Linked DNA regions of Lytechinus pictus. The main gene of each other region encodes a partner of the protein of the gene in region 2 in a complex. Links are inferred from orthologs where the notes say so. Each region holds a gene or a part of one and is shown on either strand. Other genes may lie near its edges.

What was found.
Region 1: transcription initiation factor TFIID subunit 5-like (region 2) and transcription initiation factor TFIID subunit 3-like share a complex: the UniProt entries of both Homo sapiens proteins name them as parts of the TFIID basal transcription factor complex. The link is inferred for Lytechinus pictus from reciprocal best matches to the Homo sapiens genes TAF5 and TAF3.
Region 3: transcription initiation factor TFIID subunit 5-like (region 2) and transcription initiation factor TFIID subunit 13-like share a complex: the UniProt entries of both Homo sapiens proteins name them as parts of the TFIID basal transcription factor complex. The link is inferred for Lytechinus pictus from reciprocal best matches to the Homo sapiens genes TAF5 and TAF13.
Region 4: transcription initiation factor TFIID subunit 5-like (region 2) and transcription initiation factor TFIID subunit 8-like share a complex: the UniProt entries of both Homo sapiens proteins name them as parts of the TFIID basal transcription factor complex. The link is inferred for Lytechinus pictus from reciprocal best matches to the Homo sapiens genes TAF5 and TAF8.

The regions. Positions count from the first base shown.
Region 1 is NC_087247.1:8,129,412-8,136,817, forward strand, and holds the start of transcription initiation factor TFIID subunit 3-like, read left to right. Parts: upstream 1-4,398; 5' UTR 4,399-4,501; intron 4,502-7,406. Other genes in the region: pre-rRNA-processing protein TSR2 homolog, read right to left, coding at 99-189, 4,297-4,389. UniProt on the Homo sapiens protein: The TFIID basal transcription factor complex plays a major role in the initiation of RNA polymerase II (Pol II)-dependent transcription.
Region 2 is NC_087245.1:16,414,840-16,421,844, forward strand, and holds the start of transcription initiation factor TFIID subunit 5-like, read right to left. Parts: upstream 3,004-7,005; 5' UTR 2,999-3,003; coding exon 2,828-2,998; intron 1-2,827. UniProt on the Homo sapiens protein: The TFIID basal transcription factor complex plays a major role in the initiation of RNA polymerase II (Pol II)-dependent transcription.
Region 3 is NC_087248.1:14,443,979-14,451,665, forward strand, and holds the start of transcription initiation factor TFIID subunit 13-like, read left to right. Parts: upstream 1-4,676; 5' UTR 4,677-4,715; coding exon 4,716-4,754; intron 4,755-7,082; exon of another isoform or gene 7,083-7,192; coding exon of another isoform or gene 7,193-7,201; intron 7,202-7,687. UniProt on the Homo sapiens protein: The TFIID basal transcription factor complex plays a major role in the initiation of RNA polymerase II (Pol II)-dependent transcription.
Region 4 is NC_087250.1:981,344-989,275, forward strand, and holds the start of transcription initiation factor TFIID subunit 8-like, read left to right. Parts: upstream 1-4,909; 5' UTR 4,910-5,035; intron 5,036-5,391; exon of another isoform or gene 5,392-5,784; intron 5,785-7,932. UniProt on the Homo sapiens protein: The TFIID basal transcription factor complex plays a major role in the initiation of RNA polymerase II (Pol II)-dependent transcription.

The DNA.
Region 1 (7,406 bases), on a different chromosome or scaffold from region 2:
GTTTGGGAGACCAATTTTCTTAGTTTGCATTTGCTGCAATGGGATTATCTTCATGGGGAAAAGAAAATGTTAATGAAATTTTCTTTTTTCATACTAACCATTTTCTAAAAACCAATTGTATACTGCATCTACCATCCATCTTGCTTTCTCCAAACTATCACGACCACCGAAACCGTGCCTTGCAGCCAGCTTGAATACAAGAAAGGAAGAACATTTGTAATGATCATTAATTTATGTCACATTTTTCTGCTATTACTAAATTCCAACTTGGTCTTGGCCTATTGATGGACTTCCTAGAATGCTACAAATTGTACACGTCGTACCATGAGGTAAAAACATAACAGTATTGGCCTCATAGGCGATAATAGCACATATACTGGGTGGTGCATTCATAGAAAGTTGGCACTTGGGGTAACACAAAAATGCACACAATGACGGCAACAAGGCTGTCGGCGGGTTGAATTGTCTAGCGATTTTATTTTCATTACCTCTTAGTTATGAACTTTTTTGAGTGAAATTAGTTATTTCTCGAGTGTTTGGGTAGCTATACAGGCAAATGAGAGCTATTATTTAATATTACAGATAAAAATTAACGCACACAGTAGCCAGGGCTCGACACTAGCGCCAGTCCGACGGTCCCAGACCGGTAAAAATCACTGTCGGGCCGGTAGATTTTCAGAAATAGCAAGATTTACTGGTCCGACAAGACCAGTAAGAAAATATCATTGTCGGGCCGGTAATTTTTCCCAAAATAGCAAGATTTATGGGTCCGACATAAACAGTAATAAAAACCATTGTTGGGCCAGTAACTTTTCCAGAAATGGTCAAATTCACTAGTCCAACATAAACATAAAAAATATTCCATGACTCAAATTGCAAACCATTTTCCTCCCGTTAAATTTGGTCATTCACACACAGAATACACACAGAATGAATCGCATGCAATTTTTACTAGGGTAACATACAGTGTACATATGGCTAGCCAGCCACACAGCCCACATGGTGAATTTTCTACTGGCTGCACGAACGAAGCTTGGCGAAGCTTGGCAAACCTCTGGCAGAAATCTCTCACAGAACGGTCAAAATTCACATTTCACACTAATGAAAAGCTCTTATAATGTCCATATTTCCAAAAAATTGGGGTAACTGTCATTTGTAAGCAGTAAAAGGAGAAATTTTCACTTCTGTTTTAGTTCAAAGAGATCGGGTTTCGAGTGATATCGTCTGAATACATGATAGCCCCACATATGCATTTGTGTGTGTGTTGATACACTTGGTTTCTTTCGTAGCTATATCTTAATTGAGCCAAAAAGAAACTGATAATTTATTTATGATAGTTTTAGCTTTCTTCCCATGTTTTCTTTCTATCTTTCTTTCCTTCTTTCTTTTCAATCTTTCTTTGTTTCTTCCCTCTCTTCTTTAATTTTTTTTGTTACTGTCTTTCTTTTTTAATTATTCTTTGTCTTTCGTTCTTTCATTCTTTCTGTCCTTTTAACATTTTTCTCTATTTCTTTTTCTCTTTCTTTTTTTATTTCTTTCTTTCTTTTATTCTTGAGTCCATCCATCCTATATTTATCTCTTCTTTCTTTCTTCCTTTCCTTCTTTTTACCCTTTCTTTCCTTCATTCTTTGTTTCTTTCTTCATTCCATCCATCCTTTCTTTACCATTTCTTGTTTTTTATTTCTTCCTTCTTTCAGCCCTTTCTCTCTTTCTTTCATTCATTCCTTCCTTTCTGTTCTTTCTTTTTTCCCTTCATTCCATCTATCCTTTTACCTTTTTTTTTTTTTTACTGTTTGCTTCCTTTCCTTTCTTCTTTCGTTCTTTTTTCCCTCATTCCTTCCTTTCTTTGTCTTTCGGTCTTTCTTTTTTTTCTTACTTTGATCTATTTTACATTTTCTTTCTTTTTTCTATTGCTTGCTTGCTTCCTTCCTTCTTTCCTTCTATCTATCACTTTACCTTTCTTTATTTCTTCCTTCTTTCAATACTTTCTTTCTTTTTTCCTTCTTTCCATCTCTCCTTTTACCCTTTCTTTCTTTTTTTTATTGCTTCTTTCCTTCTTTCTGTCTTTTGTTCTTTCTTTCTATATTGCTTGCTTCATTTCTTTCCTTCTTTCTTTCTTTCCTTCATTCCTTTATTTCTTCTTTTTCTTTTGTTCTTTCTTTATTTTTGTTCTTTCTTTCCTTCCTTCCTTTCCCTCTTCAGTTCTTTCTTTTTTTCCTTCCTTCACATTTACATGTATCCTTTCTTTACCCTTTTTCTTCCTTTCTTTCTTTCTTTCTTTCTTTCTTTCTATCTTTTTTCCTTCTTTCCATCTTTCCTTATACCCTTTCTTTCTTATTTTATTGCTTCTTTCCTTTTTCATTACTTTCTGTCTTTTGTTTTTTCTTTCTTTCCTTTTTTTCTTTTGTTCTTTCTTTCTTTCTTTCTTTTTTCCTTCCTTCACATCTATCCTTTCTTTACCTTTTATTTGTTCTTCCTTCCTTTCTTTTATTATTTCTTCCTTTGTTTCTTTTTGTCTTGCTTTCTTTTTGTCTTTCATTCCTTCATTTTTTTTTTTGGGGGGGGGGTAACAAGAAAGGACAGCAAAATAAACTCACGCCTTTTTTTAATGTTTTCTTTATTTTGGGGACCAGTAGATTTTAGGTTCGGACCAGTAAAAAATGGAAAAACTGGGTATCTACTGGTCCGACATGAATAGGTTGGACCAGTAGAAAAAAAGGGTTAGTGTGGAGCCCTGCAGTAGCAGTCCACAAGTTTGAAACAAATTAACAGCGCTGATGCAGTTTCGCTGCTTTCGCACCAGCAGCCAGCTTCGAGCAAATTTCGCACCAGAAATTGTTCGTAAATAGGCTATTGGTGCGTTGCAAGAAACTTGCGATCAATTCCCAAGTCTATTTTCGTTCCCGCAATCAAGCATATGCCATGCAATTAATTGTAAATTTGCGCTTGATTTTCTATCTGCTCCTTGAAACAAGTAGTGTAATCTGATTTGCTACAATTCATAGTGATCAAATAATTGTAAAATTGCAACAGAATATTTGCGATTGCAAACATTTTCTTGCAACACCCCTTTAGTCTCTCAGTCACATTTCAAGGTCAAAAGTAAATGGGTGACTAGACCAAAAGCTTCAGTCTCTGTATTTTGGTTGTTCCGCTGAACTACGTTGGCTCCACTCACCATACATAGACTGAAGGGGATGGGGCCCCGTACCTACAGCCAACGTATAGTGAACTAGCGTTTTATAGATCGCGATTTAAAACTGTTTTTTAAGCAAAATTGAAAGTTTCATGGTTTCCATTATCAGGGAAATATAAATAAATTAAGTAATTGCATACCTTGGGCCGGAGTTATTGAAAAAAATCCTCTGGATGATTGAGAAATCTGTCATCTAAGACATTTTCACCTGACCTGACGGTTTTTCTTGCAAGTTGCCATCTTGAATGACGTCATTATCGTTATTAACTTAATGTCTCGAATCGATATATCGCGATTATAACTAGTACTAGTACTAGTATAACTAGTATCGTTTATCTTCGGTTTCGATCGCATATGGAGCAGATCGTATAATATCGAAAGCAATATCGATATCACATTCGTGATTGTTGACGTTCGTTTGTAAATATTTTATAGTTTGGCTGCCATTTTGACCATTTTTATCGTGTTCAACCCAATTAAACATCGGTAAAGTATATTTTTCATGCCTTTTTCATCTATATCGTTTAAAGTATTTAAATATTAAAATATTAAATTTTAAAAGTTTGTTGTTTATACATCCTTAGATTGTAAATTCGATGTGTAAAATTACATCAAACTTTGGACTGTGAATTGACAAAAGGGAGGGAATGAGAACACATGCGAGCCCACACGTACACCCTACCGTCGGTAAATGGGGATTACAGTAAAATGTCAGAAATTGTTGAATAAATCCCCAGAAACGACGGTTATTCCTGTCTAATGGGTGACCTGCCCCAAGTAAATCTTTTGATCGCACCTTTTACGGCAAAGCCGTGTCTGAGAATTAACATCAAGATTGGAGCCGACAAACAGCCGTCCCCGACCGCGATAATTGGGGAAAGTGGTAGGCATTTTCTTCATTGACTTGTGACTGAGAAACTTTGACTTTTACATTAAGTTATGTTTAACAAACACGGATTACAATTTATGGGGCTTAACAAATTTTTAAGCAAACAGAGTTGGAGTAAGATTATAATGAACAGATCTAGGCTTTTTTCATCGATGTAAAAAATCTCCTAAATGGATTTTTCGCTTATATAAATTTAGATTTCTGTATTCACCTGTAAACCTGTCCATCCGTCAAATATAGATTGAATACTTTGGTGAAAAACAACAAGATGTTCTTTAGCTCCTGCGACAGCCATGCTTCTCATCAAACAAGCTCCCTCTGCGGTCGAGACCGTTATTGAAGCTTTTTTTTTCAGACGGGACGGAAAAAAGAGGCAAATGTAGACTTAGAAAGGATATCTTTTTCGATAATATGAGGTAATAATGTTCTAATTAATTACTTGCATGCCTTATGTGCTCCATAATTAACTTTAGCATTTGTAAAGTAAGTAGACCTAAGGCTAATAAATGATGGTGAGCGAGTGTATGTGTGAGAGACTGCAGACTGCAGTGACAGCTGGGGAATCTTACGGTACGGAGCTAGGTTGCTGCTGCCCGCCGGTGCTGCGGCGTGGCTCATCGATCGCAGCGGTGCTCGAGCTCTGAGCTCTGGCACCTTTTTTGCTAACCCAGAGAGCTCCCGCCCGCGCAGCGGGCGGGAGCCCAGAAGCTCACAGTGTATTCTACCATTGCCACCGAACAAGGGTGATTTATGGTCTAAATATTTCTCCAAATTAATTGTGAAAACAAAAAGTGTACAATTACCACGATTATATGGATGAAGGTCTAGCGAGTGGCAGATTCCTGACATCTGAGCACAGTCTGGAACCTCAAAAAAACCAAAAGTTCTCTCCTTCTACCCAGTCTCGATCGGCCATTTTGTTACGATTTTTAACAAAAATGGCCGATCGAGACGGGGTAGAAGGAGAGAACTTTTCGTTATTTTGAGGTTCCAGACTGTGCCCAGATGTCAGGAATCTGCCACTCGTTAGACCTTCATCCATATAATCGTGGTAATTGTATACTTTCTGTTTTCACAATTCATTTGGAGAAATATTTAGACCATAAATCACCCTAGTCCGGTGACAATGGTAAAATACACGGTAAGCTTCTGGGCTGCGCGGGCGGTAGCTCTCTGGGTTATATCAATACATGATTTGTCTTGGTTTATGTGGATATCCTTGTTTTCTGGGACAATCCCAATTTTTGGACCGGCGCCTCTACTGGCTGCTCTTTTAGACTTAAATGAGAGTTGAATGGCATCCACTTTTCAAAATTATGAATTGTCCAATGGATTATTATTTTGTGTTAGTGCATGGACAAAGCCAAAATGGATATTATGCAAAGCCGCTAGCTATGCCTATCTAACGTTAGACAGCTGGCAGCCGGCCGTCTGTTTTGAGGAGTTTTTTAACTTTTTTTTTATTTCTCCTCGTACACAGACGGCTCGCTATCGTGCAGCCACCATTAGGGGGTTAACAATGCAAAACACCCTGACGGGGCTCATCGATTTTTGTCTTTATTTCATGAGAATATATAAAAAGAACTGGACCAAAATAAAGATTATTATTCTGTGTTGGCCTTAAATGCACCAAAACAGGAAAAAATAACTTAAAAGGGGAAAAAACAGTGACTTACTTCGGCTGTCGCGCAACTCCCACTTCCCTGGTTGATCCGAACTTAATACATAAACATATATATGGCCATTGAGTCCCTGTACAGATCGAGTTAGAACTTCGGTCTCTGTAATTGGTGAGTTGAGCCAACGGAGTTCAGCGGAACAACCAACATAACAGAGGCCGAAGCTTTTGGTCTAATGCATATCATGCCTAGGCTATGCTCAGTAGAGGCGCAAGGCCAATATGGGAAGCTCCAAAATAGGAGATTGTCTCCCATATTGGAGACTTGCTTTGCAAAAGAATAAAAGAAAAAAAAAAAAAAAAGGTATTTTTTCCACCCAAAATATTGTCTCACTGAGGTCAGAAGCCCATTTGTTTTGTTTGTGGATGGCAACAAAAATCCTTATCAAAACAAAAATAGATGGTGTTTATTTAAAGTAGATGGTGAAAAGGGGTAATTTTTCATGAGGAATCTATCACATTTTTATTTGCCGCCAAGCTAATCCTTTTGCAGCAAATGTAAACAAAGGAAATTGGTCTCCCAAACTGGAGACTGTCTCTGAAATTGGATACCCAAATTCTTCACAAAAGTCTCTGATATCTCTCTAATAGGAGACAGTCTCCCATATTGGCTGTGCGCCTCTACTGATGCAAGTCAGTGATGCAGATTTTTTCTCTCACTTATAGGGACAGTGATATTCCGCGATCGCGGAAAATGGACGGAATTCACAGAATTGGCCTTTTGAAACGGAAAGTGGCATTTCAAACGGAAAATCACAGAAAACATATTTACCTCAGAATACACAGAACAGCAACAGAAATTACTCAAAAATCTCAACAAAATATGAATATTAAATGGCCACAAAACCTCACAAAAAACGAACTCACTTCACTACTAAGTATGACAATCCACACATCGTGACTGCTCTTGACTCCATCACACTAGATCATACCCCTCGCCCGCGCCACGGCGGCGGGGTAGGCCGTATCGAAAACATTCATATACACACAACGTTTGATTGAACAACGCGGTGTGTTGCTGCCCTCTACGTTTGAAGATGTAACAGTACGATAGTCCACACACAGAACGATAGTCCACACACACACACACATAGTCCAGTCTTGATATCCAAAATGGCGGATAGGCTGAAGTCGTTGACTGCTCAAAACGATGTCAAAAAAACCCCAAAATTATCGATTTCATTTCATTCAACCGTAAAATAATGCTAATAATGTGAAAGGTGAGGATGTATAGGGACAGTGATTTTCCGTTTCAAAAAATTGCCTTTTCCGTTTCAGAAAATCTCAAATTCCGTTTCAGCATGTCAGAAAACGGAAATTCCGTTTCCCCATAGACTTTGTACACACGGAAAACTGACAATTCCGTTTACACATTGAATAGCAAAATCACAACACGCACACTCGCACTGGTCAAAATTAGTATCTGCTACTGTACCAACAACACAATAAAATCCGTTCTAATCGGATCTATGCGGGTGCATAAAATATTTTTACACACCCATTTTGCATGTATACATCCTCACCTTTCATATTATTAGCATTATTTCACGGTGAAATGATATTTCATCGATAATTTGGGGGTTTTGGACATCGTTATCATCAGTCAACGGCTTTTGCCAATCCGCCATCTTGGATTTTAAGAC
Region 2 (7,005 bases):
TGGTCTAATACCCACTATGCATTATATACTGAGTGCCCCCCCCCTAACCTCGTATTAGTGTGAGTGCTGACAGCCCAGCCCAGGCCATCAATTAACTGAAAACTAAAGATAGATGAGCTGAGACTTGAGCCCAACGTTATATTAGGGTGTCTGGAGAAAAAAATTATTTTTCTTATTTCAAGAAAATATCACATTTTCTTTGTGGATTTGAAGAGAAATGACCTTCAGACTGACAGAAATGTAAAAATCCAATTATTGGCTGCAAAAGAGAAGAATGAAATTAGGTCAATTTTCAGAATTTCTCTGCCATAGACTGTGTAGTTAAGAAATGGACACACACAAATTTTTAGCTTCCGAGAGCTGTTATAAATTTATTATTAATGCCAAAAACTTGTCCATAAAGAGTCCAATAGGATTTTTTATGCTCTATCTGATGGTACGATTTTTATATAGATTTGGAAACCAGATCACCATGAAAAATTGCGACAAAGTGAAAAAAATTGTGCAAAACAGAAATTTCATATTCCCATAGAAAACGCATGGAGAAATGGCAATCTCAACACACACAAAAATAAGGGTTTGAAATTTATATCTCTAAATCCTTATTTAAAATGATCATATAAACTTGTCCTTACTGTCAAAAGAAGCCCCTGAATTTTCTCTTTCCATACATGCCAAACACAACTTCACAAGTTAATAATCAATTCAGATCACATTTTTCTATTAGTAGCCACTCCTAGTACCAATGAGGTCCAAACATTAACATGTATGGACCTCATAGGCGACAATGCGTTAAAAACAGGTTAGAAGTCCTGCACCCAAGTATTTTTATGATATTAGTGATTATTACTCGAAAAATGCAAGCTTTGTCCTCATTTGTTTAGCATTTATTAAAAAATTGCCCATTAACTATAATCCTTCTCATACTTTAAATGTTATAAAATAAAGGGAAACTTACATTTGAGTCCTTTTTCAATCTTTTCTTGGCAGTCAGTCCGGTCCCGTCGAGTGCGATCAAAGCGGTACGAAGCTGATTTTCAGATCACGTGATACGAGTAGTCATCACCTAATCGATCGACTATCCTTTTTTAAAGACCGCAACAATTATAAATTCTATTATAAAATATATATAGAATAAATAATTGCATGATATTATATATATTTCTACAATTAAAAATATTTTGTGATATGAATTTAATATTTGACGTAAAAATCGCTATTTAACAAAATATTTATTAAAAAATAAAAAATCAAACAAAATAAAAACGCCTTGGACACAGTGCAAAAAACCTAACAATTTGGCCGCGTTCTTAACAACTATCGTAAGGGGCGCTCTATTTATAAATAAAAAAGAATGTACAGCTGTCTACCGCGACGTGGTTTGTCGCAAGATTTGGGACAAATCCGTGGAAATTCTTGAGAAAATACATCAAAAGAACTGGTGAGTACCGATTAAACATTATCAAAGTAGTAAATAGGTTATACATAACTTGTAGATATATATTTTAAATTGATATTGATGCTTAGTTCCAAGCTAGGGCGGCCCAAATGTGCGTGAGTGGAGTCCCAGTCTATTATTTATTAACACGGGTAAGTATTGGGGTGTCGCCTAGAGTGTTAGTACTAAATAGTAGCCTGAACCACTCCTAGTACCAATGAGGTCCAACATTACATGTATGGACCTCATAGGCGACATCAGTAGTATTTTTGGTTAGAAATCTCTGAGAACAGGATATTTATATATTATATCACAAGTACAAGCTATATTCCTTTCTCTTATTTAAATTATAATTTTATAGTGTAAATGCATCGTTAGCAACAACAAAAAATGAAAGAAATGAAGGGGAACTTACATTTTCACGGCTTTTTCCTGATTTTCTGGGCAGCTGCTCTTCTCTTCTGACTCGCGATCGAAGCTGATATGAAGATCACGTGATTCGCGTTCTCGGCAGCTGATCGGTTGGTTATTCTTTTCGTCAGACGTTAATAATATATATTTTATAATGCTAGCATTCATCGCTAATTTAGGTGAAAGAGATTGAAGTTAAACAGCGCCAGGTCGCAATCATAATTATTTTGGAAGAGTTTATTTATACACTCGATCTCATACCTGACGTAGACGGCGCTATTCAACAAATGCACAATCTTCAATATAAAAAATAAAACAGAAAGAACGCCTTGAACACAGGCCAAAATGCCTAACGATTTCTCCGCGGCATTAACAACTATCGTAAAGGGCGCTCCATTTATCAATAAAGATGGATGCTAAGCTGTCTATGGCGACAAAATTTGCCGCAAATATTTTCGAAGAATTGTGAGAAATGGTCTGAAAATGCAACAAAAGAACCGGTGAGTACCGATTAAACATTATCAATTTATTTAATAGAACATATTTAATGACTACAATGTAGGCCTAACAATTTCTAGATAATATTGCTTAGTTCTAAGCTAGGGCGGCCCAAATGCGCGTGAGTGGAGTCCCAGTTTATTAGTTGGGGTGTCGCCTAGAGTGGCCTGAACTTCCCCCCAAAAATGTGCCATACCGGTATTTTGCCCTAAAATAATCAGCCTGTTTTATGCTGACACTTTTCAGTGTGGCTTCAGACACCATAGTTATATCTTGATCCAATCCATATCAAGTCTAATGTAATGATTAGCTAAACAGATGTAACTTAGAGTTAGACAGACAAACTTTTTTTGTGTTGAAGTTAAAAAAAAAGTTAAACAAACACACACACACACAGATATTTATGCATGGGGACGGGCAATGCACTGCAGCACAGATTTTTATCTCTGCAAGTGCAAAGGTGGACACCCTGGAACTCACTTTCAGGTTATTTTTCCTCAAGAACTGTAAAACTGCAGACAAGGTCTGACTATCCATCGATTGCTGACCGGTCGATTCCTCATTTCCCTCAATAGCATTGGTATCAGCAGGTTTTTCGCAAAGTAAATCTTGCTCTAATTCTTCCATGGGTTCCGCCATTTTTGGTAACATAAGTTGATAACAAATTTAAAAAAAAAAATTTTCGAGGATGGAATAGAAATAAATGGATATACATGAATACATTTAAAAGTTATTTGCCTTAAGAAAACAATTAATTTGTATCGGTTATGTGAAAATTCTTTGATGGATTTTATCATCGAACGCATGATGTGTTGTTTGTGTTTCTTTTTCTTAAATCGGCAACTTACAACCAATACGCTCTCTCTTTATCTAGGCATCGCTCACAGTTGACACTCGTCAACTGCGGTGCTTCCCAAATCTGTTTAAATCCTTCTTTTGAAGGATAATCAGCACCTCAAACTTCCAGTACCTATAAAAGAAGTTTTAATACGTATAATTAGAGGATGAGGGATAAGGTGAGATTTATTCGAAACATTTATTTATATGTGTAAATTGGTGCGTGTTGATCTGCGTAACGAGGTGATGTGTGGTGAATTAGAGTGACTGTAGGCCTAGGCCTACAGCGCGGTGGAGCTGAGGTGTGCTATTTGCTGAGCCTGAGAGACTGGAGCGAGTGTATGTGCCGAATGTGAAATAAAGCCCAGATTAGAATCTTATGTATTTTCTTTCACTTCAGTCAGATCAATTGCAAATTGGGGAGATTGGGTACCCCTTTTCACCATTCGACTGGGAGTGTTTGAATTCAAAATATTTTTTTCGGGGGGGGGGGGGGGGGGATGGGGTACCGTGACGGCGTAAGTATGGTAACGTGTTTTGAAATTGAATTCGACATGCAAGCCAAAGTCATTTCATGATAAGCCAGCACGTTCAATTGCGCATGACACGGGCACACTGGTCGAGGAGTTTTTCAACATTTTTATTTTTTCTCGTAGGGTAGGCCTAGCCCTAGGGCCTACACGGACGGCTCGCTATCAAGTATCATGCAGCAGGGGGTTAACAATGCAAAATCCCTCCGACGGGGCTCATCGATTTTTGACTTCATTTCATAAACATAATATTTAAAAAGAACTAGGCTACCAAAATAAAAAATATTCTATTTTGGCCTGAAATGCACCAAAACAGGGAAAAATAAACTTAAAAGGGAAAAACAGTGATTTCAGCTGTCGCGCAACTTCACTTCCCTGTCTTATCCGAACTTATTAAATACATAAACATATGGCCATTGAGTCCTTGTACAGATTGAGCTAGAAGTTGAACTTCCGGTCTCTGTATGTGGTGAGTGGAGCCAACGGAGTTCAGCGGAACAGCCAACATACATGTAACAGAGACCGAAGCTTTTGGTCTAACTCGCCACGTGCAATCGATTTCTGATGTGAACTCCAAAATAGGCCTACCCTTCAAAAAGTCAAAATTTTCCCTTAAAATACAGAATCTGAGCCATTTCCAGAGCTTGGCTCAAATTTGAGAAGCGGGTCCACTGATTAAAAAATTTCTAAAAATCGAACAGACCAAAATCTGTTGTTAAGAATGACTTAATGACTTGTAAGTTCACTTACAAGCTCGCAAATTTAGGATTGTATTTTGAAAATAACTTAAAAAAGAAAGAACTGAAAAACTAAGGAAAAAGGGCCTCACAGTGGCAAATTGTCCAGAGACTGTGTAATACGGATAGACCGTCCCCGACAGCGAATCAGAGACCGCTGATTGGTCAATCGCGCAGATCACGTCATGACTACGTGGTCGCCAAAATTATGCCTCGGACTGCGAAAGTATCGATAACGATAAGATATCTAGTCACATTGTCTACGCCGGAATTGGTCTTGGTTCGTGATCGGATCGCTCCAGCATTGATTGAAAATTATCAAGACTCGGCAATTTCATGCATATTCACGAGATGCTCCGAAACCCGGAAATCAATTGTGACTTTGTGCACGTTTCGATAGACTACAAACTCCAACTAACACAATGTCATATCGAGGCTAATTTGTAAGCTTTGACTGAAAAGCAGGAAGTAATCGAAATTCGCTTACCTGTGCAGTATTGGCAAGAAAATCCATGTAGATCCTCCGAGATATTCATCTTAAATATAGGAAAGTTAAATTCTAGGTCGATTTACTGCACACACTTTTTGGAATACTGTGTGGGGTAATGGAAGGCTTGCTATATTTTCATTCATAAATTGGCTCTCTGCAGTGGCTGGATGACGTCATGTAATAAGCAAAATGTACATGCCCGCTAGCGTTGAACCAGGGCTCGATTTTAGCGGGAGCCCGGTGGCAAAAGGCTCCCTAAAACCTCTGCGGGCTCCTTAGAAAGTAATTGAAAAAGCCCGGTGGGCTCCCTAAGATTTTCTAGTATCAGCCACCAAAAAAGCAATTTCTTACCAGCACACTAATCCACGCTTTATAAGTCTAAATTATGTTTTCAAAATCATAAAAAACCTTGAAAATAGCGAAAATAGCGAGTTTCAAATTGCTTAGCTGCGTCTTTTTTTCTGTACCACGTTTTTCCACACACATGGTACCTATGGAAAAAAGAATCGTGCTACACCGGTGCGAGAAACAGTTGCATGTACAGGGGTCCATTATCATTTACGCCGTGTGTAATTTTCAATGCACACATTTCCCTTAGAGATATCACGATTCTGTGTCATGTAGACATCGGCTCTGCTTGTCAAAAGGGCGCCTATTAACATCCAAAATAACTTACCTCGGTAGTGAATTATTCCTGAAAAATCATTTGTTTCATTTTTTCAAGGGAGGGGGTAAATATCAGACAGTAAATCATCAAACATGGCAACATCTGATTTTAGGAGGACGCCGGATTTTACTCACGCACGCACTGACACTTGTGCAAGTCGGAGCTCTCTCTCTCTGCCTGAGCTCTGGGGGACAATTCAGTCAGTAAAGGCCTCAATGATGGTGATTTTCTGTTTCAGATAGAGTTTACATTTCAGGTTTTTTTTTTTAAACTACCAATAAAGTTGGATGGTTTCTTCATTGTGATATATATTTAAGTTATTGATGAATACTTTTTCACCAAATTTAGACTCCCCTATAGAAAAATGCAATTTTCGTGGAGATCTGCGTTTTCAAAGAACTGCAGGAAAAGTTAGGGTATACATGCATGTACATGTAACATGTGCCTACATGTGACATACTTAGCCTGTGTGGTTTTTGTACTGATATAAACACAATATTTGGAGTAAAAATTAGATGATGAATTAATTTCTTTAACATATACATGTATATCCAAGTCCACCGCACAGTCACACCCACACAAACACACACCAACCCACATCCATGATTCAGCATGAAAAAAAAAAATCAATTTTGTTTATGTATTTAATTTGTTTCCTTTTTTGAATTTATTATTTTTTTTTGAGGGGGGGGGGGCATTAAAAATGAAAAAAAAAAGTCATTGACTTATGTGTTTGTGACCGGTGTCTAAGTGTGTTGGGGTGTCAAAATCTGATTTACCCTGAATAAATACAACTGGTATCGTGATGGTGTGCTTTAATATTTTAATAGGTAATGACCAGTATTATGCAAAAAAAAGGGATAAACTTGGGCTCCTTAAAACCCATGCGGGCTCCCTAAAAAAGTGCTTGAGGAGCCCGGCTGGCTCCCTAAGAAAAAAGTAAAGGTCAGGCCCTGTGAACGCTACGCTATCTGTTCTATACAATTTGCAGCTGTGGGCCTAGCCAACCACGTTGAGATTGCACAGTAATCGAGTTGACTGCATGCTATAATGGCAATCATCCATTCGACATGGGGTCCAATTGTTGTGTGGGAGTGAATGGCCGCTGCAACTTTTGGGTTGCATATCGCATGAGGTACGTGCAGCGCAATTCGGTGGCACTTGCACACATGATGCGTTTTGTCGAACAGAGGGTGGGGGCTGTTGAATTGTGGCCGCAAAACGTGGTGATTCATTAAAAAAATTTATGGAAAATTGAGATTGGTCAAAATAAACATTGCCATGAAATAGAGGCAAATGGGCCTATATTGATGCAAATTTGTATGAAATTTTAGAGTAAAAAAATAGTGCCAAAAAAAAACTTAACCTGTCAAATTCTTGACAGGTTACTCTATTCA
Region 3 (7,687 bases), on a different chromosome or scaffold from region 2:
AAAATGTTTAATAATAACTTTTTTCTGCTACCCTTTTTAACGTTCATATTCAATAAATCTTTACCAAAATATGTCTACAGTATGCGTCCCAGCAAGATCGAATTACCATTTTAAAAAATGACAGTTTAATTCCTTCAGTTTGATAATAATAATAATAATAATATAGGGTATTTATATTGCGCACATATCCACCTTGTTAGGTGCTCAAGGCGCTCCTATATTACCCGGCTAAGCTAGTTCATAGCGCACACAGCTTTTAAAGGAATTACTTCCTACCGGTACCCATTTACCTCACCTGGGTTGAGTGCAGCACATTGTGTATCAGTTTCTTGCTGAAGGAAATTACGCCATGGCTGGGATTTGAACCCACGACCCTCTGTTTCAAAGTCCGGAGACTAATCCACTGGGCCACAACGCTCCATAAAAGGGTGATAAAAGGGTATCATTATTATGATTATGCACCCGGGACCCCGGGCATAATAACAAGCGATACAGGTTCTTGGAGTTAAGCTCTCTTTGGGGGCGAAGGACCAAAAAGGCCCGACTAATACAAATCATAAACCATTTAGAATGCTCTGTGCAGAACAGTAATCATAAAATAAACTTAATGATACGCGAACCAAATGATTTATTGGTGTTGTGATGCCTTATGGATACATCAATTGATTAGGTGCTGAAATGTGATAACTATAAAAAAGCAAACATGATTACTGTAATAAATGAAAATAAATTTTCAAAAGACTGCTTTGTAATTAAATAAATCATAAAACACGCTTATGGGACAGTTTGGCAAAGAGCCATTTGGTAAAGATTTACAAGTACATGGGTGTGTGCATAATAATAAGCAATCGGTTTAAAACCTCAAGCTATCGGAAAATTGCAATGTCTTCCATGGGCGGAAATCTGTCCCCAAGGTAGGGGGGGCAGGGGCTGGAAAGTTTGACAAGCAAAAAAAAGGTTATCACCCAAATTGTAAGGTCGTTTTAACCCCCAAAAAAAATGTCAAGCAAAAAAAAAAAAAAAAGTTCCGCCCAAAATGTAAGGTCATTTTAGTAGAGAATACACGTAGGCCTATTATTTCGTTTGTGAATGATGTTATTTTTCTCCATCATAAAAAAAGGCAGGGGGACATTTGATATTGTGTCCCTCCTACTATTTTTGGTAGGGGTATATAACCAATTACATAGGAAACATTTTGCGTCTAGGTTAATCAGTCATAGTGGCTGATGTTATAGACGACAGATATCACTCTCGGGCCTTTTTATCAATGTAGAGACAATGGCAGAGTGGGGATTCGAACTCACAGTCCTGCGATTATGAGGCCAATGCTCTTATAAGTATAATGATATAAGTAAGTATAATAGTATAAAGGTATAAGTTAGATATGTTTAGCTAATATCATGTGAAGAACTCAATATATTGGCCTGCCTGGCAGATCAGATCACTGATCACTGGTTGAAACAAAAATATTCATCTGGGAAGTATAAAACTTTGTTGGGACAAGCTTTAATTTTGGGCGAGGTGTATCTCAGTAATTGGCCAGAATTCTGCGTATTATGACGTACGGGACGGTGAATCTTTTTCTGTTTGCATCGTTCATTGAAGAATCCTCATTCAATACAATACATTGTATCAATATCCAGATTTTAGTAAAGTGATTATGTTTTCATGATCTACTTCGCCAACTTGGGTTGGGTGACTATACGGAATGCCACCTTCACTGATCATACATCGGCCAAAGATGAAATTACATGTTTATGGCAGGAAACAACACTTGCAAAAAAAAACAAGAATGAAAACAAAAAAAGGGGAAACATACATGAATTAAATCTACCTCAATCTAGTAGAGAAATGACGAAGTTCATATTATTACTCGCCCGATTCCCAGGGCCATGTATAACTGTGGTTGTTCCAAATTAATGGGCCATTAAAGAAATAAATGTACAGTTCAAAGGACTTCGCAAACATTTGGATGAACTTTTATCTTGTAATCAGGGTAATATATATTTAATAGATGTCTCTCCATTGCTGTTCTATTGAAAAAGAGCAAATACTGACCTTGAACTTTAGAAGTTGTTGAACTCGGTATTCTAAAACTGGGAAAATGTTTGAAAATATACCCAAAGCAGTTACGCCTTCACAATGTACGTATTCAAGCCATCAATGCGAAATGATGTGTTTGCATTTTTATCTTTTACTTTGGGAATATTGAGACAGTCCTATCTTATGATATGCCATTCGCGAATTATTATATAATCATTAAAATATCTTTTGGGGGCAGATTTGCCTGTATGTTTGTGGCATAATAATGTGGGCACGATTATAAAAAAAAGTGCTTCTCTTTTTCCAGATTTATTCTATCGAAATCAGTTTAAGCTTCGCATTTGCGTTTTTGTTTAGTGAGCGACGAATCGTAATAGGTTTAAAAATGGAAATAAATTAAATATGTATACTCAAAAGTTTCAACTCCCATTCTCATTATTTGTGTTTAATGTGATATATTTTTCATGTTAAAATTATAAAAACATTACTGTTAGTTCTTTACTAGTTCAAAGGTCTTTTGATGGGGCAAGGGATGCTGTAACTTTTTATAAGCATATTATCGTCTTCACCAAAAAAATGTTTTTAAAACTGAGTATATGCTAAACTCTTATATATGCCTTGAAAATGCCTTAAAAATGCCTTAGGATTTCGAGGCTTCAAATCCTTGGGGCCATGGCCAAGGCAGACCGAGATATAGACGGAGAGCTGCAGTCTCTTTTCAGTCAGGTTTTCTTTTTTTTTCCACCTGACTAATCCCCCGCGCGCTTACAGCTTGCATACAGACCAGTCTTTCCACTAAGGAAATTACCCAAATTCCGGTTCAGTAATCCGGATCATCATTCAGGTAAGTTTCGGGTAAGTAAAAAATTCTAGGTAATTCCGTGTAATCCGAAAATTACAATTACACAACAATTAAATGGCGAAACTTTTAATATTTATGTTATCAAAGAATTGTTTACCTCGATACGAAGCCCAAAATTTTCCGCTCGCGCTCCGCGCTCGCATTTCGTCGATTTTGTTGAACAATTAATGTTATATCCTTTGATTTTGGTCACTTGGACTGAATATAGGCTGGCTGTATTATTGCCCGATTTTTGTTAAAAATCAAACTTGAAACTACCAAAAAATATTTCTGAATTTTTGGGGAATTTGGGATTCAGTTGTGGGGAAAATGTTTTAGATCTGAGGAGACACTGATGCAGACCATACAGGTGGATTATCCACGTCACCTCAATGACCATTTCAATGCTTTTTAGCCTTTATTCAGATAATATCACATTTTTCATACATATTTCATTTCATTTTCATAAATTAAATTTACAAAATGAAGTGAAGTACATGTATACAGCAATAGAACAAATGAAATATTATACATTGTGATATACATTTTTAACAAAGATTATCATAACCCATAATACTTACAAAAAAAAGTTCATTTCTCTTGTATTTACTGTATAATAATGCGGTATTGTATGATGAAAAAATCCAAACAGAAAGACTTTTCAAGTTCTGAGCAGATAATAAAATTGATACCGTATATAAAATAATTTGTTTATAGAGATGTGAATTATATAGGCTATCCCATAATAAAATATATATATTTATACCTCTATATTTTGCAAGACAATACAAAAAAATAAGTGCCTACGTTGATACTTGGAAAGTGTACAACAATCTGAATAAAGATTTTATACATTAAACATACACAAAAACAGAACAAACATATGATGCAGACCTATGTTGCAGCAAGGCCCTATATATGAAGAGCTCACTTGCATAAGGGGTTAGGTCAATTTTTCATCAAATTTGATTTTTTTTCCTTTTCTTTTCTTTTTTTTTTTTTTTTGTCTCAATGTATATATAGATTTTTAGTAGCTCTATAAGATCATACCAAAGGAAAGTTGAAATTCCCATTAAGAACTGAAATAAAATGGCCAATAAAAATCACCTTTTTTCAAAAGGGGTTAGGTCCATTTTAGTTTGGTTGCAAAAGGGGTTAGGTCCACAGAGATTTTTTTTGGAAAAAAAAATATTTTTAAAAATGTGAAGACAGGTAGATTTCTTTCATACCCAATTTTATGTTCTCATGGTAGGGTATCATGAAATTAAGTTTCGCCGAACAATATTGCAATATGGGAGAATTAAAAAATGATTTTTTAGTTGGAGTGGACCTAACCCCTTTTGCAACCAAACTTTTCTGAAGAGCTCATTTTTCAAAAGGGGTTAGGTCCATTTTTTTTTTAATATAAATTTTATTATTTTCTGTCTCAAAACCTCTAAATTTTAAGTCGATCTGATGATACTAAAGAAAATTTGAAATTTAAATAAAAAACGTGAATAAAAAGTGTCAATGCAAAATCACTTTTAATCAAAAGAGATTGGATTCATTTCAGTTTGCTTGCAAAAGGGGTTAGGTCCACAATTTTTTTTTTTTTTTAATATATAGAAAAAAAATTGGGGACAGGTAGATTTCTTTTATACCAAATTTTATATTCATATGAAAGGGTAGTACATTATGATAATTTAGTTTCTCATAAGAATATTAAAATAAGTGAGAATAAAAAACTTGTTTTTCTCGGAATGATCCAAACCTCTTTTGCAACCAAACTCTTCATATCGTATCTCTGTGTGTGTTGCAGTTACACACGCCCTCTATCGTCATTTTTACAATAATGGCTGAATCTTCAAGCGCTGCTGCTTCCAATTCAGAGGTTTGTTTTTCGTTTTGTCACAATGATAGTGCACTATTTACTATAATCTTTTGCGCATTTATTTATGTAAGATGTATTTCTATATTTCAGGGTAAAAGTATTTCGTATTGTTACTTTGGGAGGTCGGTAACGGTAATGAAGTTAACAAGTTATATTTTATTGTATGTCCCGTATGCTGCAAAATTTGTTGGGTTTTGTACTTTTGTTGCCAACAATGTTGGATTTTGTACTAGTCACTAGTAGTAGTACTCACTGTACGATCCATGATATTTCTATATATATTTCAGGATCAAAGTATTTCATATTGTTACTTTGGGAGGTTGGTAACGGTAATGAAGTTAACAATTATACTTTATCGTATGTCCCGTAGGCTGCAAGGTTTGTTCATTTTGTTGGATTTTGTACGATCCATGCAAATCATGATATTTATAGGCCGATGCAAGTTTTTTTTTATCCAAGTCACTCATTCAATGAACAAGGTTATGATATAACCTTGTTCTCAGTTATATCTCCATGTGTGGCAAAATAAGGGTGGCAATGTTTGGCTTATTTTCTCTTTTTCTTTGGGACAAATGCTTGATTTTTTTACACTGACAGTTTCCATTAGGGCCTACACCTATTCGTCATACAACTTGGTTCTCTTATTAAATTTGATTCTTTAAATTATTTTTTTCTTAATTAAAAATAGAGATTAAAAAAATAAAATTTTCTTGCCATATTACTTTCTACCAATAGAGGGCGTACACAAAAATATGCCCGAAATTCAAGTTTTTGAGCGCTCTAGTGAATACAAAAATTATTCCCCAGTTACTAATGAAAAATAAATTGCAACTGTATGGAAATTAGTAATTTTGGTCTCAAAAGTGATATTTTAATGATTTTTTAAAGTACGCGCGACCCACTAGTTAGGAATCCACTGCCAAACGCGGTTCATGGTGCGAGGTTAGTATAACTTCGCAATACATTTGAGTGAGACTTTCATTGTGTTGACCAAGTGTAAAATGATCAACGATCGTTTTTGATTAAAATGTTGCAACATCCTGAAAGTCTCCTGATGACATTTTTGATAATCCTTTTTAGACTCGGGATAATTGCAGACCACTGACTCGACTGAAATAAATACAAATGTCTCAAATTGAGCTCTAAATTTATATGAATGATGATGTAAATTATTGTTAAATTATTACGATTTAATAAAATTTTAAGGCCATACTAAAAATATTGGTAATGTCAGCAAAGTTATGTTAAGTTGGAATATGGAAGTACTCCGGACGTCTCCGAGATAAAGAAGTACATCGCGCATGCGCGATTGATAACATAATTTTTCATTCATGAATAACTTACTCTGCTATGTCATGTAAAATTGTATTCTATAATGATATTACGATCGTGAGAAGAGTTTCTGCAACGACGATGTTTGAAAATCAATCCTGACATGATATAATTTTATTTAGACAAGTGCACCCATCACTCGTTACGGAATTCGTGATGTCCGTCATTAAAAATGGAAACGTAATACAAATTGAATTGAATTACATCAAACTCTAAATTCATATTAATGATTATCATTCGCAAATTATTGTTAAAATATTAAGATTGAATAATGTTCTATGGTCATGATAAGAAATATTGTTAATGAACGCAAGATTTATTTTACGTTGATCCCGGCGTTGATTTTCCTTTCAGAACAATTTAGATCTGGTTTGATTAAAGCACAATGCGCATGTGCGATCGATGACTATAAATTCCATTCATGAATTCATCGCACAAATTATCTCGGCACGAAAAGACGAGTGAGACTCGAATTAGGATCAAAATAAACTTCAAATTAATGGTGAATAGGCATCATAATTATACATGGTTTCATTTTAGGGAAATAGAAATCGAGTAATAGCTATTAAGGCGCGGCAAAAAGCACATAGCTTGTTTTATCAATCATAACGTCACTGCATCGTATGTAAACTTCGTGAACGCCCACGCCCCAGGTGGGCCCAAGACAGATTTCATTCATAAAAAACTGTGAGTGAAATTCTAGCGCAAATACAGAACCTCAAGGGTGGGTATGAAAGTGGAATTTTAGTTATTAATACTTGTGCAGCGTCTGAGAACTTGGAATCAATGTGAGGCTGTCAGCATGGTAATAGAATTGTGTTCAATTAAGTAATTGTTCACTTGTTTACAACTCCCACGCAAGTTTTATACAGATGTACACGGTGATGGAATTCAGTACACATGCACTGACTTGACCGGGCGTGTACATGTGTACCCAAAACGGGCCTAATATAGAAGGCAGCACACGGCCTTTTGTTGCTGCCCTCTACGTTCGAAGATGTACAGCACGAAATCAAAATGGCAGATAGGCAAAAGATGTTGACTGCTCAGAATGATGTCCAAAAAGCCCCAAATTTATCGATAAAACTTCATCCAACCCTAAAATAATGCAAAAGGTGAGGATGTATTTATGCTAAATATGTTTGTGTAAAGATGTTATGTAACCATTTACATCCGATGAACACGGATTTTAAAGCATTCTTGGTACAGTGGCTGTACCTTGGAGAAAGCTATGGCTGGTCCGAAGTCGTGGTCAATCTTGACCACCGCAATTGCCATCGGCCAGTTTTCATAACAAAGGGAATAACCATCAGTCCTGTTAATATGATATGTATGGATTAAAATAGCTTGTGCAAAATAGTTGCAGGGTGGAAAAAAACCCTTAAGCGGCCGCACACTGGTGCAGATACTCTACATATGTATACCAACTCGAGTAATGCGCCCGTAATTTGATATGACACATGTGCCTCGAATCGATCTCGATTCAACATGTCAAACTTATTTCACATGCAAGCAGTCAATCCCGACAACACACACTAAAGCTGTACCCTTCTGGACAATAGGCTAAGTCAGTGATAACATCTAATTAATGCCATCAACAC
Region 4 (7,932 bases), on a different chromosome or scaffold from region 2:
GTTTTTATGGATCTCTCTTTCTCTATCTCTCTCAAACCTACCCTGCTATTGTGGTTAACAAAATAGTTCTATGGAGTGGGATTTTACTCAATTAGCTGCTCATTGGCTTTAAATGGTTTAATGCTAAAAACGCAACATGACAAAGATACATGTAGGCTGATAACAATATAACATTTTAAAAATATAATATTCATTGATGTTATTGAATGCAGTACTTTCTCTCTCTCCCCTCTCCACTTTGTTTCAGCCTGTCTTGTTCTCTGTGATTTTCTTCTTTCACATTTTTTGCCTTTGAGCTTCAAATAATTTTTTTTCTATATTGTTTGGTTCTGGCGTTCTATTCATTCATGTGGTTTTACTCTAATGAGTGCATGCTGGAAAGCTTCAGTATGTTTGTTTTTAATGCTTCCAATTCTGCAGTACCAAGCAATTAATCAAATGATTTCTTGCTGTTTTCTTGTAGATAGTATGGTATTACATTATCTTGCCTTATGTCATTTGAGTGGACAATTTTTTTTTTCTTGTCATAATTTATTCTAAAGGTCATTGAGGTCATGGTCAAGGATGCCCTTGTCTGATTGACCCTATCTATGTCCTTGGAGATTAATTCTGTCCATCATAATTTTCTTATTTGTTCTGTAATATAGAATGTTCCCTCTAGTAATGTGGCTTTGTTTAAAAAATAATGACATTTGAGGCATGGTATGAATGGGGAAACTAAAGGTGTAAGTGAATCAATTGTAACTGTAATAGGACAACAGGGTTTCAGAATAGGTTCATCATGTAACAGGTTTCTGGGATCAATCTAAAGGTGTTGTGTAAACTTCCTAGTGTAAACTCAGCTTGTGGATGGCATTAATCACCTTTACACTACACCTTAGGTTTATGTGATCAATCTAAAGGTGCGGTGTAAACTACTTAGTGTAAACCCAGCTTGTGGATGGCATTAATCACCTTTACACTACACCTTAGGTTTATGTGATCAATCTAAAGGTGTTGTGTAAACTTCCTAGTGTAAACTCAGCTTGTGGATGGCATTAATCACCTTTACACTACACCTTAGGTTTATGTGATTAATCTAAAGGTGCGGTGTAAACTAATTAGTGTAAACTCAGCTTGTGGATGGCATTAATCACCTTGACACTACACCTTAGGTTTATGTGATCAATCTAAAGGTGCGGTGTAAACTACTTAGTGTAAACCCAGCTTGTGGATGGCATTAATCACCTTTACACTACACCTTCGGTTTATGTGATCAATCTAAAGGTGCGGTGTAAACTACTTAGTGTAAACCCAGCTTGTGGATGGCATTAATCACCTTTACACTACACCTTTGGTTTATGTGATCAATCTAAAGGTGCGGTGTAAACTAATTAGTGTAAACCCAGCTTGTGGATGGCATTAATCACCTTTACACTACACCTTAGGCTTATGTGATCAATATAAAGGTACAGTGTATAAAAGTAACCCAGCTTGTGGATGGCATTAAGACAATTTTACACTACACCTGTATTCAAACAATTTATGTGTTTTATAAATATATGTGCCACCAACATAATGAGGGACCTTGTTCAATCTACTTATTTTCCCTGTATTGACTAGTTGCCTTTCATGTATCAGAGGAAAAATATACAGAGGCTTAGGGCAATACAGCCCCCAAAATGATCAAAAGAAACTTAGAAACTATAAAAGGCTCTCGAAAATCCCCATTCATTGCAATGTTAAAACTTATCAAATGCCGCAAAATTAGGCTTCTTTTTTTTTTTTGCCTGACATGTATATCAAGCAATGTTTGTGAGAATTGAAAATTATTCAGAAATATTCAACTAAATGATGGCTCCTAAGCATGAGGTAGACTAAGGAATATCAATATACCTACAAGTGAGATCACAGGAAATCTGTAACAAAATGAGCCTGATGATTAATGCATGGCGATCAGGATGAAAGGAGAAGTTCACCCTGACAAAAACCTGCAAAAAATTGCAGAAAAAGGGATAAAAGATAGTGGTGAAGTTTTGAGGAAAATTCAATAAATATTAAGAAAGTTATTAGAATTTTAAGTTTTTGATTTGTGACGTCATATATACAAGCAGCTGCCCCCTATATGTTATGTAATATAAAATGCATAAATTTCAATGTTTTAATGGTTCATAATGAATAACTTTGTTCTTTTGGGAGCAGGTGTAATATAATTTGTCTGTTGATATACTGAAGACCTGTACAATAAAAAACATTTTCAATTTTTGAGAAAATGAAATTTCATTGATTTTTTAAATTCATGATACTTGGGAAGCTGCTCGCATATGACGTCACAAATATAAAATAATTGAAATTCAAATAACTTTAAGATCACTGATGGATTTCCCTCAAATCTTCAACAATATTTTTTTATTATTGTTTAGATTTTTACAATAAACCTTTTTGTCAGGATAAATGGTAATGGTAGTGATTGTTACCTGATTGCTGAGAAAGCATCAATGCTTGTAAGCAAAAACCAGAGGACCGATGACGTAAGGTCCTCTCTGAGGGACCTGGTAATGGGGATTGATGCCTTACCAAAGAGTACTAGCACACCAATTGGGAATCGAACCCCGGTCACCGAACCCCGCTCTACGGACTGAGCTATCGCGAGCTAACGTGAAAGCATGATATCACAATTGGGGCGCAATTTGTGAGCGTGACCGGCTAGGATTCTTTATACAAATCACTCTTGTAATTCCTATATTATAGATGGGGATCTGTGTTATTGAAAGAATTAACCTAAATTATTTATTTTTGTATTATGTGCTATAAGTCTTGTACATCAAATATTTTATAGATTTATTCACATATTTATTTCCATATATTGAAGTATTTCCATATTTATTATTTGTGATATTTGTCCACATGTCTGTTCAATTTTTTAATAAATGTATTCAATATGTCAAAAAAATGAACTTCCATATTGAATGTTAATTTATATGGATTTGACAACAAACATGCATGGTGCTTGTGAATTGACTACAACCAAACAAAGAGAAGTGTTTGCTTTAAAACCAAGCATCTCATTGAGAATATATTTTATTGTGATTTTTCACAATACAGCATGTTCCCCTAAAAATGTTAATGTCACTCTAGATGGGTATAATTTTAAAATTACAACATTATATTGTTTATATCTTTACACCTCTAAACTACAATTCATTTCCCAAAAGTGGATGATTTTTTTTCAGGGGCCGCGGAAGCTGATTGTGATTTTTTGTATGGTCAGCCCCCCCCCCCCCCCCCCTCACTTTGAAAACCGTTCCACGGCCCCTGTTTTTGTGATATGGTCCAATGATCACAAATATATGAGCATTTATTCATTAAACATCAGGAAACCTCTTCATCCAAGTTTTATATCAAGTAGTAAGTTTCAGCTAACAAGATTTTTGTGGTTCAAATTATGTCTATTCACGTTCAGCCACGGGTGTGAATCTGCAAGGATATTCTTTTGTTCAAGACTTTGTGATGACCTATTCATTCATCCCTTCTAATGAATAGATGAGATCAAGATAAGATCATGGATTACAAAATTTGTTGTTTTTTCTTTTAGGCCTATAATCAATCAATCAATTTTCATGTTTGATAAAAGATATCGTGCCAAGTTTCTCAAACCTCCATTAAAAAATAAATATAGGCCCGGAAGTTCTGCCCCAAATATCTATAAAAAACAGAGTGAATGAAGATATGATTGGACTACATACTTTTCTGAAAGAAGGCTCATATCTCTGTGTTCGATGGATCATATCACATAAAATTTAAGCCAGTTGCATATAACAAATGCCAATTTACGATTGTAGAATTATATACAAATATGACTTTGTAATTTTCACATTATACTCATTTAAAGTGTCATTAATATTTTTGTGGGACACGCTGTATATCTTGCAAGCTTTATCTTTTGCTTAGTGTGGAAACCATTAAGCTATATAACAAGAACAGGACAACAAAAGATTTTTAATGTGTGAGTTTGTCAAGAAGAAATTAACCTTCTTCTTCTTCTTCTGTTGATTTCCTCCAGTCCTGGAGAACTGCGAGATCCAGTGGATACGCAGAAAAAGTGGTTTGATAAATACATATAGAAACAAAAGAGCAAGGCTCAGGAGGAGATTGGAATAAAGTGTATCACCAGACTGTCTAGTTGTTGTTCACCAACAGAGAACGTTTAACATGAAGCTCATGCAAGAAATGAAGTTGGGGAGCTGAGGCAACAGATATACTAGTTCCATTAGTGTCCAATCCAAGAAGTACAACATTCGTAACAGCTGCTGCGACTTGCCATTGCAAGTAAAATCTGAGTTTGCTTGAACACAGCACACTTTTTTTTAATGAAAATATTATTTTGAAATTATATTTTAAGGCTTTTAACACATGACATTTGAAAATAAAATCTAGCTGCCTTTGATTTTGCTTGCATTTAAAATATATAAATGAGTGAATATTCATTCAATTTCCACAAAAAAAGAACGAATAAAAACCTGTAATGATTAAGAAAGGAATGTAATACCTACATTTATGTGTTATCATGATTTTAGACTATAGAAACTCACTCGATGCGCAAGAGAGGCAGATATAAGAGAGAATGGAGGGGGTTGGTCAAGAGAGAGAATGGAGATAAAGAGAACAGAGGGAGAGAAGTCCGCATGTGCATAAAATGCTTTCCCATCAAAGAATATAACACTTATGATGAAAAGAGTTATTTTGCATCACTTGCCAATGGTGGCACATAATGATATATGCATTTTGGTTAAAAAACAAAAGCAAAGAAATCTTGTCGTAGGCCTACGGATAGTCAAAGTAATATGTTTCAAATGAAATACCTCTTTTTCATTCAAATCCTGGATCCGCCGCTGATGTTTGGTTTTTTTTTTCCGTTCTTCTTTCTTTTTCCATTTTGACCTTTCGGCGACACGGTTTTGTCGGTACGGATAATATCGGAGGAGGCGAGATTTGTTATTTGGAGTCACTTTTATTAGTCTTTATTGTCAGCTTTCAGTCTGAAAGTATTCTAAAGGTAAGCCCATTGATTCCTCCTGTAATTTTTGCCTACGTTTAAGTTTATACCCCTTTCTGCAAGGCAGAGATCCCGCTGTAAGACTGGAGTGACGCATGACGATATTCCGATTATCTTACACAACAGTCCCATTCATTACAATTGCTGTTTGTAAATAAAAGAAACCACGTCTAAGTTTCTTGGGCTTGGCCACCCAAGTGTACATCATTACATGCCGCCGCGCACGGAAAAATTAAGCCATAGAAGTTGTGTGTTGTGTTAGTATACTACTAATAGTAATACTAACCTCGCAATACGTGTGAGTGGGGCTTGGCTTGCCTCATGCACTCACACTCGTGACACTATTCTCGTATCTGTCACCGACACCGTGTAGTGCAGTGTTAAATTGGCGAGATCAATATTAACAATTTCTACAAATACAATCAAACTTTTTATAAAATAAAAAAGACATGCACGGGAAAATCATATTATTGTGCCATACAAAATTATTACATTTGATTTTAAAACTTACATCGTGTACTTTGAGGTCCATAATTAATAATCCATTTTACAGAGACGATCTTGTCACTCGACACTCGTACATCCCCGAAAGAGTTGCCATCTTGAAAATATCGAGTTTCGTGAGATTTGACTTCCAGGTTTTATTTTCTCTCTCATTTCATCGCCATTCGATGAAACATCAAATTTCTTTCTTTGCGAACATGATTTCGAGTTCGAAAAGTTGTTTTGATGCTGGAAATACGAAACGGGTAAGCAAAATTGTGTTTTTTAAAGTGATTTTTTGTTTACATAATTCATGAGTATTTTCAATTTTTGTTCGGCCTTTATTTATCTTTTATTTCTCAGGCGACGTTTTCTTGACGCCAATTAAAGTATGAACTATGGAAGGTTTTTTCTTCGGGCGATGGTAATTTTCCGACTTCACAAATGTGTCGCATATCGCCCTCAAATCTTAAACGCAAGGTGATGTCGGACTAATGAGTCGTAATTTTTCTTGAGTTTGAGCGAGGATGAACTGGCATTAATAATGACCCTTTTGAAATTGTTTGATATGAATAACAATTCGTACCCCTAATGAATAAGAAATGTCGCATTGAACTTGTGCAATGATGAGGTGAATTGAAATAAATGGACCGCACGGATCGCCTATCGCGATCGAGCTCTGTGACTGTGTCGCTAGCTAGTGCATATGGGCAGCCAAAAGGGCCAAAATTAACAATCTCAAAAATTAAGAAACTCTCAGAAATAAATGTAGTATCCCAGTCTTTCAGAAATAAATGCAGCCTCTCAGACTCTCTCAGAAATGAATTATTTTTGTTATATCCCCGCAAAACTGTGATTGTGTTTATTTCCAAGAATTGTTTTTATTCCGTGAAAACATGATTCTGCAGTTGTCTTTATTTCTGTAGTTATCTTTACTTCTAGAGTTTTCTTATTTTTGACATTGTTTTATTTGCGAGGTCATCTTTATCTGAACGATGACATTTATTTGTAAAATATACTGCTATTTCAATTACAATATTTTTTTCTGAATGTGTCCTATAATTCTAAATCTTTATCTATGACTGACAAGATTTATTTCGGAGTTGTCTTTTATTTCTCAATTATATCCATTTCTGGTTAAATACATTTATTTCTGACTTATGTACTAGTCGTCCAAAGTAATGTATTAATTTCTGAATAATATATTTCTGAGATACTACATTTATTTCCGAGAGTTTCTTTATTTTTGAGATTGTTAATTTTGGCCCTTTTGGCTGCCCATAAGTGCAGTGGTCATGGCGCCAGTAGAACACGTAATCTACACGTGGCGTGTGTGTGTGCATGTACATGTGCACTCATCAGGTGTTAAGCCAAAGGAGACAAAGGGGGTATGTTAGCCCCCTCTTCAAATACAGTATATATTTTTTTTCAGCAAATGGGTTACATCAGGGATGGAAGGGGTATACCTCTTTTCAAACATAGTATTGACACGGGTGGATCTAGGATTTTCCAAGGGTGGGGGGGGCACATTTTCCCGAGGAAAAATTTGACCAAAAAAAGAAGAAATGTTTTCAACCAAAAATGAAGTACATTTCTTCTACAAAAAATCTGACAACCAAATAAAAGTCCTCACTTTCAAAGGGGGGGAGGGCACACTTGTGTTTTAAGTTTTAATAGCATTTTTACATATACAAATTTTAATTGTGCCTCTCAAGGGGGGGGGGGAGGGGCACGGGCTGGCTGCCCCCTTGACACCAGAGGTTAGTTACATGTACACCCCCCCACCCAATTTAAATGCATGCCCTGTACATGACCAGTGGAGGATCCAAAGGGGGGGGGGGCACATACTACCCACTCCTTGAGAGCCATTATCAAAAATTTTAATGTAAATAAATTCTGCTTTTACACGTGTAGCCTCCCCCCTTTCATTGGTGGCGGAAGCCAAAATATTTTTTTTTGGGGGGTCCACCTGAAAAAAAAAAAAGGTTATCAACCAAAATTTTAGGGAGCCACAAAAATGTTAGGGGGGGTCCACCTGAATCTAGGGGGGACCCAAGGAAAAAAATTGACAAGCAAAAAAAAAAAATGGTTATCAACAGAAAATTTAGGGGGGTCCGTTTTTTTTACTCCTCCCCCTTCATGCAGGTATATGTTGGACCCGCCTCTACTGCAGCCTTTGAACAAAAAAACTTACACAGTCATACAAATTCAAATTTTTCAAATTTAAGCTTATTGATATAAAATCCTGACATTGAAGGATCATCATCAAAAACAAAGAAACATAAGAAGAAAGAAAATAATAGAGTATTTATAAGCACAACATAGAACAACGAGGTACACACAACATACACAAAACCATATTTCATATTTTGCTCCGCCCCCCCCCCCCCCTCCTCACGCAGATACCTGAATCT